3 linked regions of the Xenopus tropicalis genome follow. The protein of the gene in region 1 interacts with the protein of each later gene in a pairwise test. Links are inferred from orthologs where the notes say so. Each region holds a gene or a part of one and is shown on either strand. Other genes may lie near its edges.

Region 1 (3,705 bases):
TACCCTTTTAAAACTGTGCTGCTGCAGTACTCACCTATACTATTCTTATCTATTGCCTGTAATTTTTTTCTCTTTATTCAAACAGACCTGTGTCAAGACTGGCATCAGAAATGAAATTAATTTTTTTTATCATACTGTGTTGTGTTTTCTTACAGGACAAAAGTTTGGCAATCTGCCTTTCCAATCTTATTGCAATAGCCAAGTTGCTAAGGCCATATGATGCCTCTATTCTCATCCTCCTAGATTTATTATTGGCATTTGTTTCTGTTGACTGTTCCCGTTTAATAATGTACATACTTCATTCCACTGGTGAAGCTACATCATGGTTCTCCTCTTACCTTTCTAACGATCCTTGTCAGTGGTAAAAATACCTTGTTAGACATTTACAGCACTGCATATACAAGTTGTAATACATGTATGCAGAAAAAATATATATTTTATATAAATATTTTTTTTGCTATATGCAAAACCTAAAAGAACGGTACCAATTTTGATGAGCTTGTATATACAGCCCTCTTATTGGTCTGCAAGAAAATAAAAAGTTGCTGATGGTGTAGTACTATTAAATAAAATAACTACCACATGCCTGTTTTAACTGCTTACACATGGCCTTTAAAAACAGCATGTGTAAGTATTTATAACAGGTGTGTGGCAGTTATTATATAATATAACCATATTTAGGTAAAAGCAGTACCTGCGAACGCTCTCTAAATGCAGATGTTGTTCTTTGAGTTTTTTCTGATAGTGACTTTGTAAGTCTTCTACTTTTTTCTTTTCTTTTTGGATCTGCTGCTGGAGTTTCTCAATCTGCACACGTAAGTCACTGATTCTGGCCTGCTTTTCACTCTCAACTACTTTAAGTTGACTGAACATCATTTCAAACTGTTCAAGCTCTTGGTCCCTCTCTCCCAACACCTTGAGATTGTGGGTGAAGTCCTTCTTCAGAGAAGCAAATTTCTCTCTTTGTTCTTGAAGTTCCTTTTTTGTATCTTCCAGAGTCATCTCCAAAAACTGAACCTGTAGCTGCTGAAGTTCTCTCCATTCTTGTTCTTTTTTAGCCAGAAGAACAGAAAATTCCTCCTCTTTTGGCAACATTTTTGAGCCTGTGAATGTAGGAGGTACATAAATCTAAGTTAATATTTTCAGTAAGTCAGAATGTGCTTCTATGTTAACACAGAGCATCTAGTATTGTAATAGTGGGTACAATCAATTAAATTACATAGTATGTTCTTCTCAACCATTTAAGCATACAAAAATCCCTATTCAAATAATTTGTATCCAATAGGTAAATAAAGCACAGCTGAAAAATTAGAAAGTGGAAACTAATCCAAAAATAACCTTTAGTATAATAAAATCAGTGTCGGACTGGCATAAATGGGGATTGTTAGAAGACCTCAGTTAAGGGTCCAACCAGCCCCGATGCACTAGTCCAGGGGTCCTTAAACTTTTTGGACAAGGGACTGGTTCATGGTCCCTCAGACTGTTGGGGGGCAGGTCTACCCCTGTGTTGGTGTTTTACTCTGGCCAGCGCGTCATCGCGTCACACGTAACACGGTGATGTCACCGTATTATGTGGTGACACGGTGACGCGCTGGGCAGAGCAGAACGCCAACACAGGGGTAGATGGAGGAGGAGGCTGCCGGCAACTCAGTTATGCCTAAAACTACAGCCCACGGCAGCAGGGGGTCATATCTGGCCCGCAGACCGTAATTCAAGGACCCCTGCACTAGTCCTTTAGGCTGATGCCACACCAGGCGTAGGGCTGATTTTTTCGGCAAGCGGAAAAACGCTTGCCGAAAATTCAGCCCTACGCCTGCTACTTGTGCCTGCACCCGAATGAATGGGATACGCTCGGGTGAAGGCACAAGTAGCCGATATACGCATGAAAACGCGAGAGAATGCAAAGTCTCGCGTTTTCATGCGTATATCGGCTACTTGTGCCTTCACCCGAGCGTATCCCATTCATTCGGGTGCAGGCACAAGTAGCAGGCGTAGGGCTGAATTTTCGGCAAGCGTTTTTCCGCTTGCCGAAAAAATCAGCCCTACGCCTGGTGTGGCATCAGCCTTACCGCTGCCAGTTACCATCTGGTATTTTGCCAGTGTCCTGGTGACCCAGTCCGGCCCTGTTTCAAACATAAAAAATTAAGAGAACATAAGAAATTTTCAGTATCACATAGCACAGCTTTACACTTACCCTATCATCAAATGGGAAGCCACAAAATGCATTTTTTTTATTAGGACAAAATACCTTTTGTTTATATGTTGTGAGGTGCAAATCGAAGGAAGGAAGAATTGCTTTCTGAATGAGCACTAAGAAACAAGCTCTCACACTCAACTTATACAACTTACTGCTCTGAACTTCTTTCCCCAGTTTGCCATAAATCACCCCAATAGTGTTGTGGGTCTAAATGAGTCTATTTATGGAATTAAAGGACATGTAAATCCCAAATTACCTCACCATGTTCATAAGTAGGGCACAGCTCCCCACCTGAACCTCAGAATTTGAAGGCAAAAATCAGAATGGTGTGACAGCAGAATATTAGCTTTTACCCAGCGGCCATCTTTCCCTCCTTGAGTCATTAATTAAATGATACCGCTCAGCCCCGCACCCTGACCGCTCTCACAAGTGCACACAATACAGAATGCATGCAGACTATACATTAACAGAACATTCTCCTTACATTCAGCGCCACAATAGTTAATGTGCCCTCTCGCTGAAGACAGGAGTAATATTAAGGAACAGAGCGTCTAAACACGTATCCGCGTTACTGTGGGAACCAATTCGCTCTCCCCATTGGTGGGTTCATGCTGGGCCAGTTCTACCGCCTTTCACTGCGCATGCGTCTGTATAAAGACTTGCGCACTTTCGTTGTATTCTAACCTTTGGGGGCGGCGGATGCGTGGTGTGCTGGGGTGATTGAATAACTGTGGAGAAGGAAGTCAAAATGATTAACCTGCTGCAGCAAAAATGTCGAGGGGATGTTAGTGGGTGCCCAACACAAAAACTTTTAGTGGGTGGGGAAAGTTTTTGTGTCAGGCAAAGTCTTTTTGTGTGCGTTACATGTTAATAGGAAATGCTGTGTAGGAAGTGAAAGGACATGTAAAATCTGGGGGGGGGCTAAAATGTTAGGCAGATCCCCCCCCCCCAAGAGAAATAGATTGCTATATTTTTACCCAGGCTGGTGCTATTTCACTGGGGGGTTCTCTACATTTTGGCTCCCCCCCAGTGAATTAGACTTTTCATGTCCTTTAAAGAGAGGACTAGGAAGCGCCATTGCATGCTATTAAACAGGAATATTAATTGCTGGCGTTCAACCCAGAAGTGATGCCATATTGCATTAAATTGCATTAACAGTGTTCTGTGGAAATAATCACACTACCTGCATACCTCCCATCATTTCAGTAAGAGAAAGAGGGAGAAAAGTATGCAGCGCGGCAAAATTTTTGGGCCAAGCCTGCTTCGTGACCACGCCCCCACGTGCCGCACCTAGTTTATGTGCCCCAGATGTGTCAGTATAATCACTAAATAAAAAGAATAAAGGTGCCAGTATGACTACATTAAATTGATAAAGGGCATATTAACCCCAGACATGCCAGTAAAATTACTAAATGAAACTGATAAAGGCCATATTAGCTTCAGTCATGCCCAGTTCTGTGCATTTGCCATAGTTATAAACAGGGCCAATTCCGGTGGTACATAAGTCT
Region 2 (3,755 bases), about 2.2 Mb from region 1:
TTCTGCAACACTACATACAGAGGGGTGCCCTGCACTTACTGCCTAGCACTTCAGTTCTCTGGGATTGGCGTAAGGGTGCAGTTGTGCCTGTAGCAGTCATAAATAAGCCATATAGGTAAACATTTCAAAGCTGAGTTACTAAATGAGTAGATTCTCAGACAGAGGCTGGTGTAATACAACTTCATTATCTTAATTAGCTGCTGTATTTAATACAACAGAGGGAGGAATAAGCCACCTGTCCTGATAGGGAATATTAGTGTAATACATTCTTTCTAATTGGCTGCTAGGTTTACACCCTTATAAGCTTGACCTCTGATACCGCTCAATTAATACAGGCCACTTATTATTTTGTATTTATTTAGAATTGCTGCGCACTAGTAATGATACAAGTAGGTGCAGGCAGCTCAGGGCAAAATGTATTCTGGTCATTTTTTAAATAATAGAAAATATACAGATCTGATGCAATTTCAAAGTAAAATCTCTCATTGACCCCCAGTATAATATTTTAGAAATTTAAGCTGAAGTCAATATTAGCGATTAGTGGAAATACAGATTATATTTTATTATTTGGAGCCCATATAATTTTTACAAGATTGTGTGTAATCATTTACTGAAAGATATGCCTGTTGTAAGATTGTGTTGGTAACAGGTTTGATGTGGTGTGTTTCTAGTTACAGGAAACAGTGTGGTATTTATTAGGCTATAGACGTCAACTTGTTAAGTTAAGGTATGATAACTTTTAATAGATCAACCTTTCTGTCGCACAGGGTATTCTCGTCTCTTCATCAGATGTGCGAAGAGGGCTGCTGCAGTCTGCAAGGCTTAAAGGGGCAGTGACTCTGGAATCAGATTTTTCTCACAAAACCTCCTATTGTAACTCCCTTTATTTACTCTAAGCAAGCTATATTTTATGTAGCATAACTTTTTCTAGCAGCAATGTGCCCGCCTTTAGAATATAGAACTATAAGAGCGATTTCCAATGCTGAGAGATTCACAAACATTTATTTCTCTCTCTCTCTCTCTCTCTCTCTCTCTCTCTCTCTCTCGCTCTCTACATATGTACATTAAATATACAAAGAAAAAGAAGAAAACTGTTACTTAATGGTACAGACATCCAGAATGGTACAGTATCCAGAATGCTTGGGACCTGGGATTTGCTGGATAAGTGACTTTTCCATAATTCAGATCACAATACCCTAAGTTAACTAAAAAACATTGAAACGTGAAATAAGCTCAATAGGATTGTTGTGTCACCAATATGAATTCATGCACCTTTGTTACCATCAAGTACAAGGTGCCATTTGATTATCACAGAGATAAAGGAAATAATTTTGAAAACAAATTGAATTATTTTCTTAATATGGACTCTATGGGAGCTGGCCTTATTTTGGACATATTTTGGAACTTTCTGCATAACTGATTTCAAGCCAAGGGATCCTATACCTGTATGTTTTCAATTAAAGCTATTCCAGTTTAAAAAAAAATACCAGTAATACATCAAATATATAACTTGGCTGAATATTGGATTCTCTACTATAAATTCAGCCAAATCAAATCCAAACCCGAATTTGCATTTTCATGTATAAATCATATCATCACCTTCAGTTATCTAACTGTCCTGTGCTTTAAATGCACATGATGTGGATTTGTTTCGGCTATGGACCTACAGTTTCAGCCAGATCCGAATCCTGCAAAAAGTGCTGAGATTTGCCCCGGATCCAGGTACTGGTGCATCACAAATAAATGCTTAAACCCACCCAAGCACCATGATCAAAAGCCATGTTATCAGCTGGCATCAACGTAAAATGCTTTAAAAAAACACATAGCGAGTTATTTTGTAGGGATTATTCTAACAACCACAACAATCATTATTACTGCAGAAAGTAACAAAAATTACAGCGGATGATAACAGCGAGTCAGTTCATCTAGATACTAGACGGAACACTTCTTACATCTAAATCAGAACCTTATACTCTAGAATTTTCTGTTAAGCCAGTCATCCCAAGGGATGCGTAAATCCGTGAAGAATGTGCCCTTATACCTCGCACAATTAGAAACATCTTACTATTAAATTGGGATATACAACTCAAGAAAATTCTAAATCTACTCAACATTAAAGCTCCACACAGAAACGAAAAGTCAGAAAATGAATTGGAGAATATAAAAATAAATATAATGTATGTATAATTTCTGAATATTTCGGATGCGCTTTAATTTAAGTTTCATACCAAACACACAACCTATACAAATATCTATCTATTGCTTTTCTATTGCCAGGGCTAATTAATTTGTATAAAAGAAATAACTCCCTAAGCAGAAGAGGAAACTTACATGCAAATGACATTGCAGAAAATGATACAGTAACAAGGCGAATTTATGCACATCCAGACCCTGTGTTTTGCTGGTTCATAGGTCAGAGGCAGTCAGAGAACAGAGGAGCTCCTTACCTTTCCATGGCCAGACTGCAACTGAACTGAGCCAGCCACATGTACAGAAAGAATATGTGAGGGGATGCAAATAACAATGCAAGGGAGCGTCAGCTAATTGCCAGCTGCTTGTACAGGAGAAAACCACTTAGGGATGTGGGTAAAATTCTCAGCTTTCAAAGGCACACATTGTATGTTCACCAGCAAATGCTTGCTTGGGTTCTTTCTACATACAGTGCCTAGAGATCACTGTAAAGAAGTTGTATTCTAGATCCCTAGAAATATCCCCCGTTATGTTCCTAGTACAATACAGCTAAATTAAAATGTAAAAGAGTTTTTAAATTTTAAATAGTACGGATCCAAACATAGGTTAATAAAAGCTGCTAACTGGATGCCTTCTGGCCAAATTGGCAGTTTTCTGGCCCATGTAAGGGGCTTTTATGAGGGGCCAGCTCGATTGACACCTAAAAATTATTTAGATATCTTTCTGGGCAGGTTAGAAAATCCTGTTGGATGAGGGCCACTTGAGTATATTGAATCCTCTCGTGTTTCCATAGGCTCTTAGTATGATCTGATTGTTGGCCCACCTGCCAAATAATTTGATCACCTCGATTTGGCCCAGACGTTGGGTAGCCTAATCAGTAAAAGGTTTGGAGACTTTGCCTAGCGATATGCTCTTGTTGTAAATGCCCAACTTAAAAGAGAACTGAAGCTTAACTAAAGAAGTAGGCTAGAAATGTACATATTTTGGGTTTCTGTACCAGCCCAAGGCAACCATAGACCTTTAGTAGGGAAGATCTGTGCCTCCAAAGATGCCCCAGTAGCTCCCCATCTTCTTTTCTCCTGATTCACTGCACATGTTTTGCGCTGCTGTCACTTAATTTATTTAGATTCTCATTATATGGCAGCTCTGAAACCAGTGCAATTTGCACCAGAATTTAATAATCAGCCCTGTAGCATCAGCTTCTATGACAGGCAAACCTCATTTTGTAATAATCTTTTGATAATTTGCAAAAACCCCTAAGCTTAGCATCTCATCAGCTGCTCAGACCGCTCTCAAAAGACCTGTATCATTACCGCTATAGAGAAGCTGAAACTTTAGGTTGGTTCAGTAAGTTCAGTATATCAAATATGGCATCTTTAGCCATTTTCATTTTTAGGTTTAGTTCTCCTTTAACTGAAGTGGTGTATACTTGTGAATCACAGTACCCCAAAGCTCCTGAAATGTTTTGACCCCTTCAAGCCTTAGTTTATTTTGTTGCTCATTCATCATATCATTTATGGCATTTATTTCATAATATTATTTATAGCATTCCCCCCAATTCTGTT
Region 3 (3,655 bases), on another chromosome or scaffold:
AGCTGCAGAATCTCTCCATGCCCGAACAACCTGTAACATGGATTCAGTTACTCATAGTACATAAGATGGGTTCAGAGAGAAGAAGCTGCACTCTGAGAGTTTACCTTTATTTGAGTTGTAGCCCTGTAGTGAATAATTGCAAGTCTTTCCTGCCTTCTCTCCAGAACCTGAGCAGATGCTTGATTCCTCCAGCTACACAGTGCACCTCTAGAGAGCAAAAAATCCTTGAATCAAAATCCATTTTCTTCCATTGAAATCCATTTAAAAAAAACCAAAACACAAACAGATTGTTTTTATATTTATTATTATTATTATTATTATTAATTTTGAAATGTCACATGGGGCTAGCCATATTCTTCATTTCCCAGGGTTCCACAGCCATGTGACATGTGCTATGATAAACTTCAATCACAATTTACTGCTGAGCTGCAAGTTGGAATGATATCACCCCCCTCCCTTTCCCTCCCAGCAGCCGATCAGCAGAACAATGGGAAAGGAGCAATATAGCAGCTCCCAGTAGATATCAGAATAGCACTCAATAGTAAGGAATCCAAGTCTGGCTTGGGACTCCTCCAGTTACATGGGAGTTGGAGAAACAATAGGTTAACTGAAAGCAGTTCTAATGTGTAGCATTGGCTCCTTCTGAAAGCTCAGACACAGGCTCAATGCACTGAGATGGCTGCCTACACACCAATATTACAACTAAGAAAATACATTTGTTGGTTTAAGAATTTTTTTTTAAATGGTAGAGTGAATTATTTGCTATATTCAATTTAACATATGCAGATAATTATTTTTCCCCAATGACATGGTGTGATCTGCCAAATACTTGTAGAGTTCTATACAAACAAAAAAATATATAGGTTTAAATTGTTAGAACTACAGCAATTAAAGAGGATGTTCACCAAAAAATCATCATTATTTTAAAATAAAGTTTCTTTTCAAGGCTGTCCCCTCTTAATCTTCCAGTCTGTCATTCAAGACACTAGGGGTCATTTAAAAAGCACAAAAAGTCCAATTGGCACTGTATTAGTGTTTGCAGCTCCCACCAACTTGCAGGACTAACACATAAGCATTAAAAAACTATACTCTGTGGGGAAGAACAAATAACAGGGAAACTCCTGGTTCCAAATTTTAAGATATTTAAAGTGCTCAATTTAAGGCTAATGTCTGAGGAAGCAATTTAGTCGCCTGTGATAGATCAGGATACCTTGGGTGAATAACTACTCCGAAATGCCTTTCCATTAGCAACAGTAGGAATCGCCAGTGGAAAGACCTATGCGTTGCTTCAGCTTTCTGAACCTGCGCAAAGTTCCCTCCAGCAGGCAAATTTGCGCAACTACACCAGGAGCAGTTTTCCTGTTATATGCCCTTCCCCACACAGTATACTTTCAAGACTAGGGGTCATTTGCAGAATATAACAGTTGCAAGATGCAAAAAAACCAAAACACATTTTTGTATACTGCTTTCAGCTCTAGACATACTGCCACGAGCCTCTGCGCTCCCATTCAGAGTACTGAGATCTGTGGTTATCCCCTTGAACAGAGCCCCGATTGCATTGGGCAACACTATCCAAGAGTGGCGAGGGAGGAGATGCATGCAAGCATCCTCCCCCGAGCATCATTTAGATGCACAAATTAGGTACCAGCTAGAAGTGCAGGCCACAACTGGGCCCTATCAGAGTAACCCCTCTAAATAGAGTACCGCCTGCATTAAGCAGCACTTTATCTATGAGAGGTGAGTAAGTGGAGTCACGTAGGCATCCTCTCTCCCACTACCTAACTTCTGCATTATTAAGATAATGTTAGGCAGCAGAAGGCCGCAACCAGGCCCCTGTCCTATGGCAGGGTTCATCTGTGCTTCATTGCTCCGTGCTCTGCTTTTTATATTGAAAAGAGCAGAGTGCAGCATTTTGTAAGGCTCTCTAGCACCCTTTGTGCTCAAGCACTCACACCCCTGGGAAATGTAAATTACCCCCCTACTGTCTGGTTGTTGGGGTCACTAGGACCCTAGCAACAAGTTTACTAATCATACAGCAAACAAAAATGTTAAATCATTTAAAAAAAAATAAATAAATAAATGTATAAAAATACACAATAAAATCTGCGTTAGAATATAGTTGTATACAACATAGTAAATTTTAATCTTAAATTAAAAACCCACTTAAACAGTAACTAAAAACAAGCAAAAATATTTTTGAACACAATCTACAAGTTTCAAGATTAGAATGTACAATGCCCTTTAATGACAGCACAGAAGGCAATATTGTATACGGTTCTGTATAGAAACAGTTAGGCTCAGGAAATTATTCCCATCATTATTTTCCATTTCACACATTTTTCAAGGGGAAGTTAATCACATCATTGTTCTCTATTTCACCCAATTTCAAATGAAACTTGAACACATTATTGTTTTCCAAGAATGAGTGCAAATGCTCCTAAAATAGCTGCTGGAGCAATTACTGTTTAGGTAAAAAATAGGATTCATGGAAATGAACGGCCATTTAAATTTCACAAATTTCTTGGCTTAAAAAATCGTGATTTTTGGACAATAAACTTAATATTTTTGTTCAAACCTACCAACATTATTGTGACATTTAATAAATGACAGTGTTTTATTTAAAAAAATACTAAATTTGTTGAACTACAGCTACCACTACTGACCCCCTTAGGTAATTGCTTTAAAGATTTTTTTGTCGATTTAAGCTCCCATTTGCTGTCCAGCATTCAATTATAACCCCCCATTAGAACATAATAAGGTTACAGATGAATGTCAATGTTGCCTTTTCAGCCATAGTTCTAAGAATATCAAGACAGCCTTAAATCTAACTTTACGAAATTAGGCTAGCTTCCAGGTATATCTACATAGTAAAAGGGTATTCTCCCCAAATTAAACTGCCTTTTTTTTGGCCACTGAAGGAGAAAACTCACCGCAAGAAAGATTCATTTTTTTGCTTCTCTTTCTCCTTCACCTGATGCAGTATGTCCTGTACACTAATATGATAATGCTGAAAAAGAGAAAATGAAGAATTATTTGCATTGAGAACTGGTAAGCATTACGTGTGTGTTACAGGGCTCTTGAAAACTTACTTTCCATGCCTGAAATACATTTGCAAGCAAGTTGCGCTGGTAGTGTAGATCAGCCCTGACTTGTTTTTTCCACTTTTCATGTCTCTGAAACAAAAACTGCAGAAAAACATTGCTAGGGTGCCGGTTAATACATCAGCCTCTAAAACAGGAATTATATAGACAGATATATTTAGCTCCAGCTGTTTCCAGTAAAATACTGACGTAAGAGTGATGTTGTGCACTCTCTTACCCATTTCCAGTGGTTCCAGGCATTCTGCATGCAAAGCACACGGTGGTGAAGTATGGCTTTCTCCTCTCGAGCTCTCCTAAACCAGACACAAGTAAGGACATTGTAAAGATATAGGAAACCCAAAAACTGATAACTGAAACCTTTCCACGACTACAAACAACAGCTGTCAATGATAGTTCTGAATCAGTTGCAGTACTAACGATAGTCATTCCCTTATCCAAAAACCCAGCATTGTTTGTTCATCCAGTAAGTTAATTGAACTTTATTTCTTCCATATCCCACAAAATCCCTCATCGGGGGCCAGATATTATCTTTTTCAGAACCCAAATTTCTGATT

The links.
Region 2: the proteins of ccdc57 (region 1) and tmem100 interact in binary tests that used the Homo sapiens proteins (3 or more experiments, as listed by UniProt). The two-hybrid records come from large-scale screens. The link is inferred for Xenopus tropicalis from reciprocal best matches to the Homo sapiens genes CCDC57 and TMEM100.
Region 3: the proteins of ccdc57 (region 1) and sfi1 interact in a two-hybrid assay, tested with the Homo sapiens proteins (2 studies listed by BioGRID). The two-hybrid records come from large-scale screens. The link is inferred for Xenopus tropicalis from reciprocal best matches to the Homo sapiens genes CCDC57 and SFI1.

Annotation. Positions count from the first base shown.
Region 1 is NC_030686.2:27,521,823-27,525,527, forward strand, and holds the start of ccdc57 (coiled-coil domain-containing protein 57), read right to left. Parts: upstream 2,826-3,705; 5' UTR 2,682-2,825; intron 2,616-2,681; exon of another isoform or gene 2,195-2,615; intron 1,104-2,194; 5' UTR 1,096-1,103; coding exon 695-1,095; intron 1-694. UniProt on the Homo sapiens protein: Pleiotropic regulator of centriole duplication, mitosis, and ciliogenesis. Critical interface between centrosome and microtubule-mediated cellular processes. Centriole duplication protein required for recruitment of CEP63, CEP152, and PLK4 to the centrosome.
Region 2 is NC_030686.2:25,278,913-25,282,667, forward strand, and holds the start of tmem100 (transmembrane protein 100), read right to left. Parts: upstream 2,516-3,755; 5' UTR 2,448-2,515; intron 2,435-2,447; exon of another isoform or gene 2,332-2,434; intron 1-2,331. UniProt on the Homo sapiens protein: Plays a role during embryonic arterial endothelium differentiation and vascular morphogenesis through the ACVRL1 receptor-dependent signaling pathway upon stimulation by bone morphogenetic proteins, such as GDF2/BMP9 and BMP10.
Region 3 is NC_030677.2:152,123,732-152,127,386, reverse strand, and holds part of sfi1 (protein SFI1 homolog), read right to left. Parts: intron 3,395-3,655; coding exon 3,319-3,394; intron 3,186-3,318; coding exon 3,090-3,185; intron 3,008-3,089; coding exon 2,931-3,007; intron 208-2,930; coding exon 105-207; intron 31-104; coding exon 1-30. UniProt on the Homo sapiens protein: Plays a role in the dynamic structure of centrosome-associated contractile fibers via its interaction with CETN2.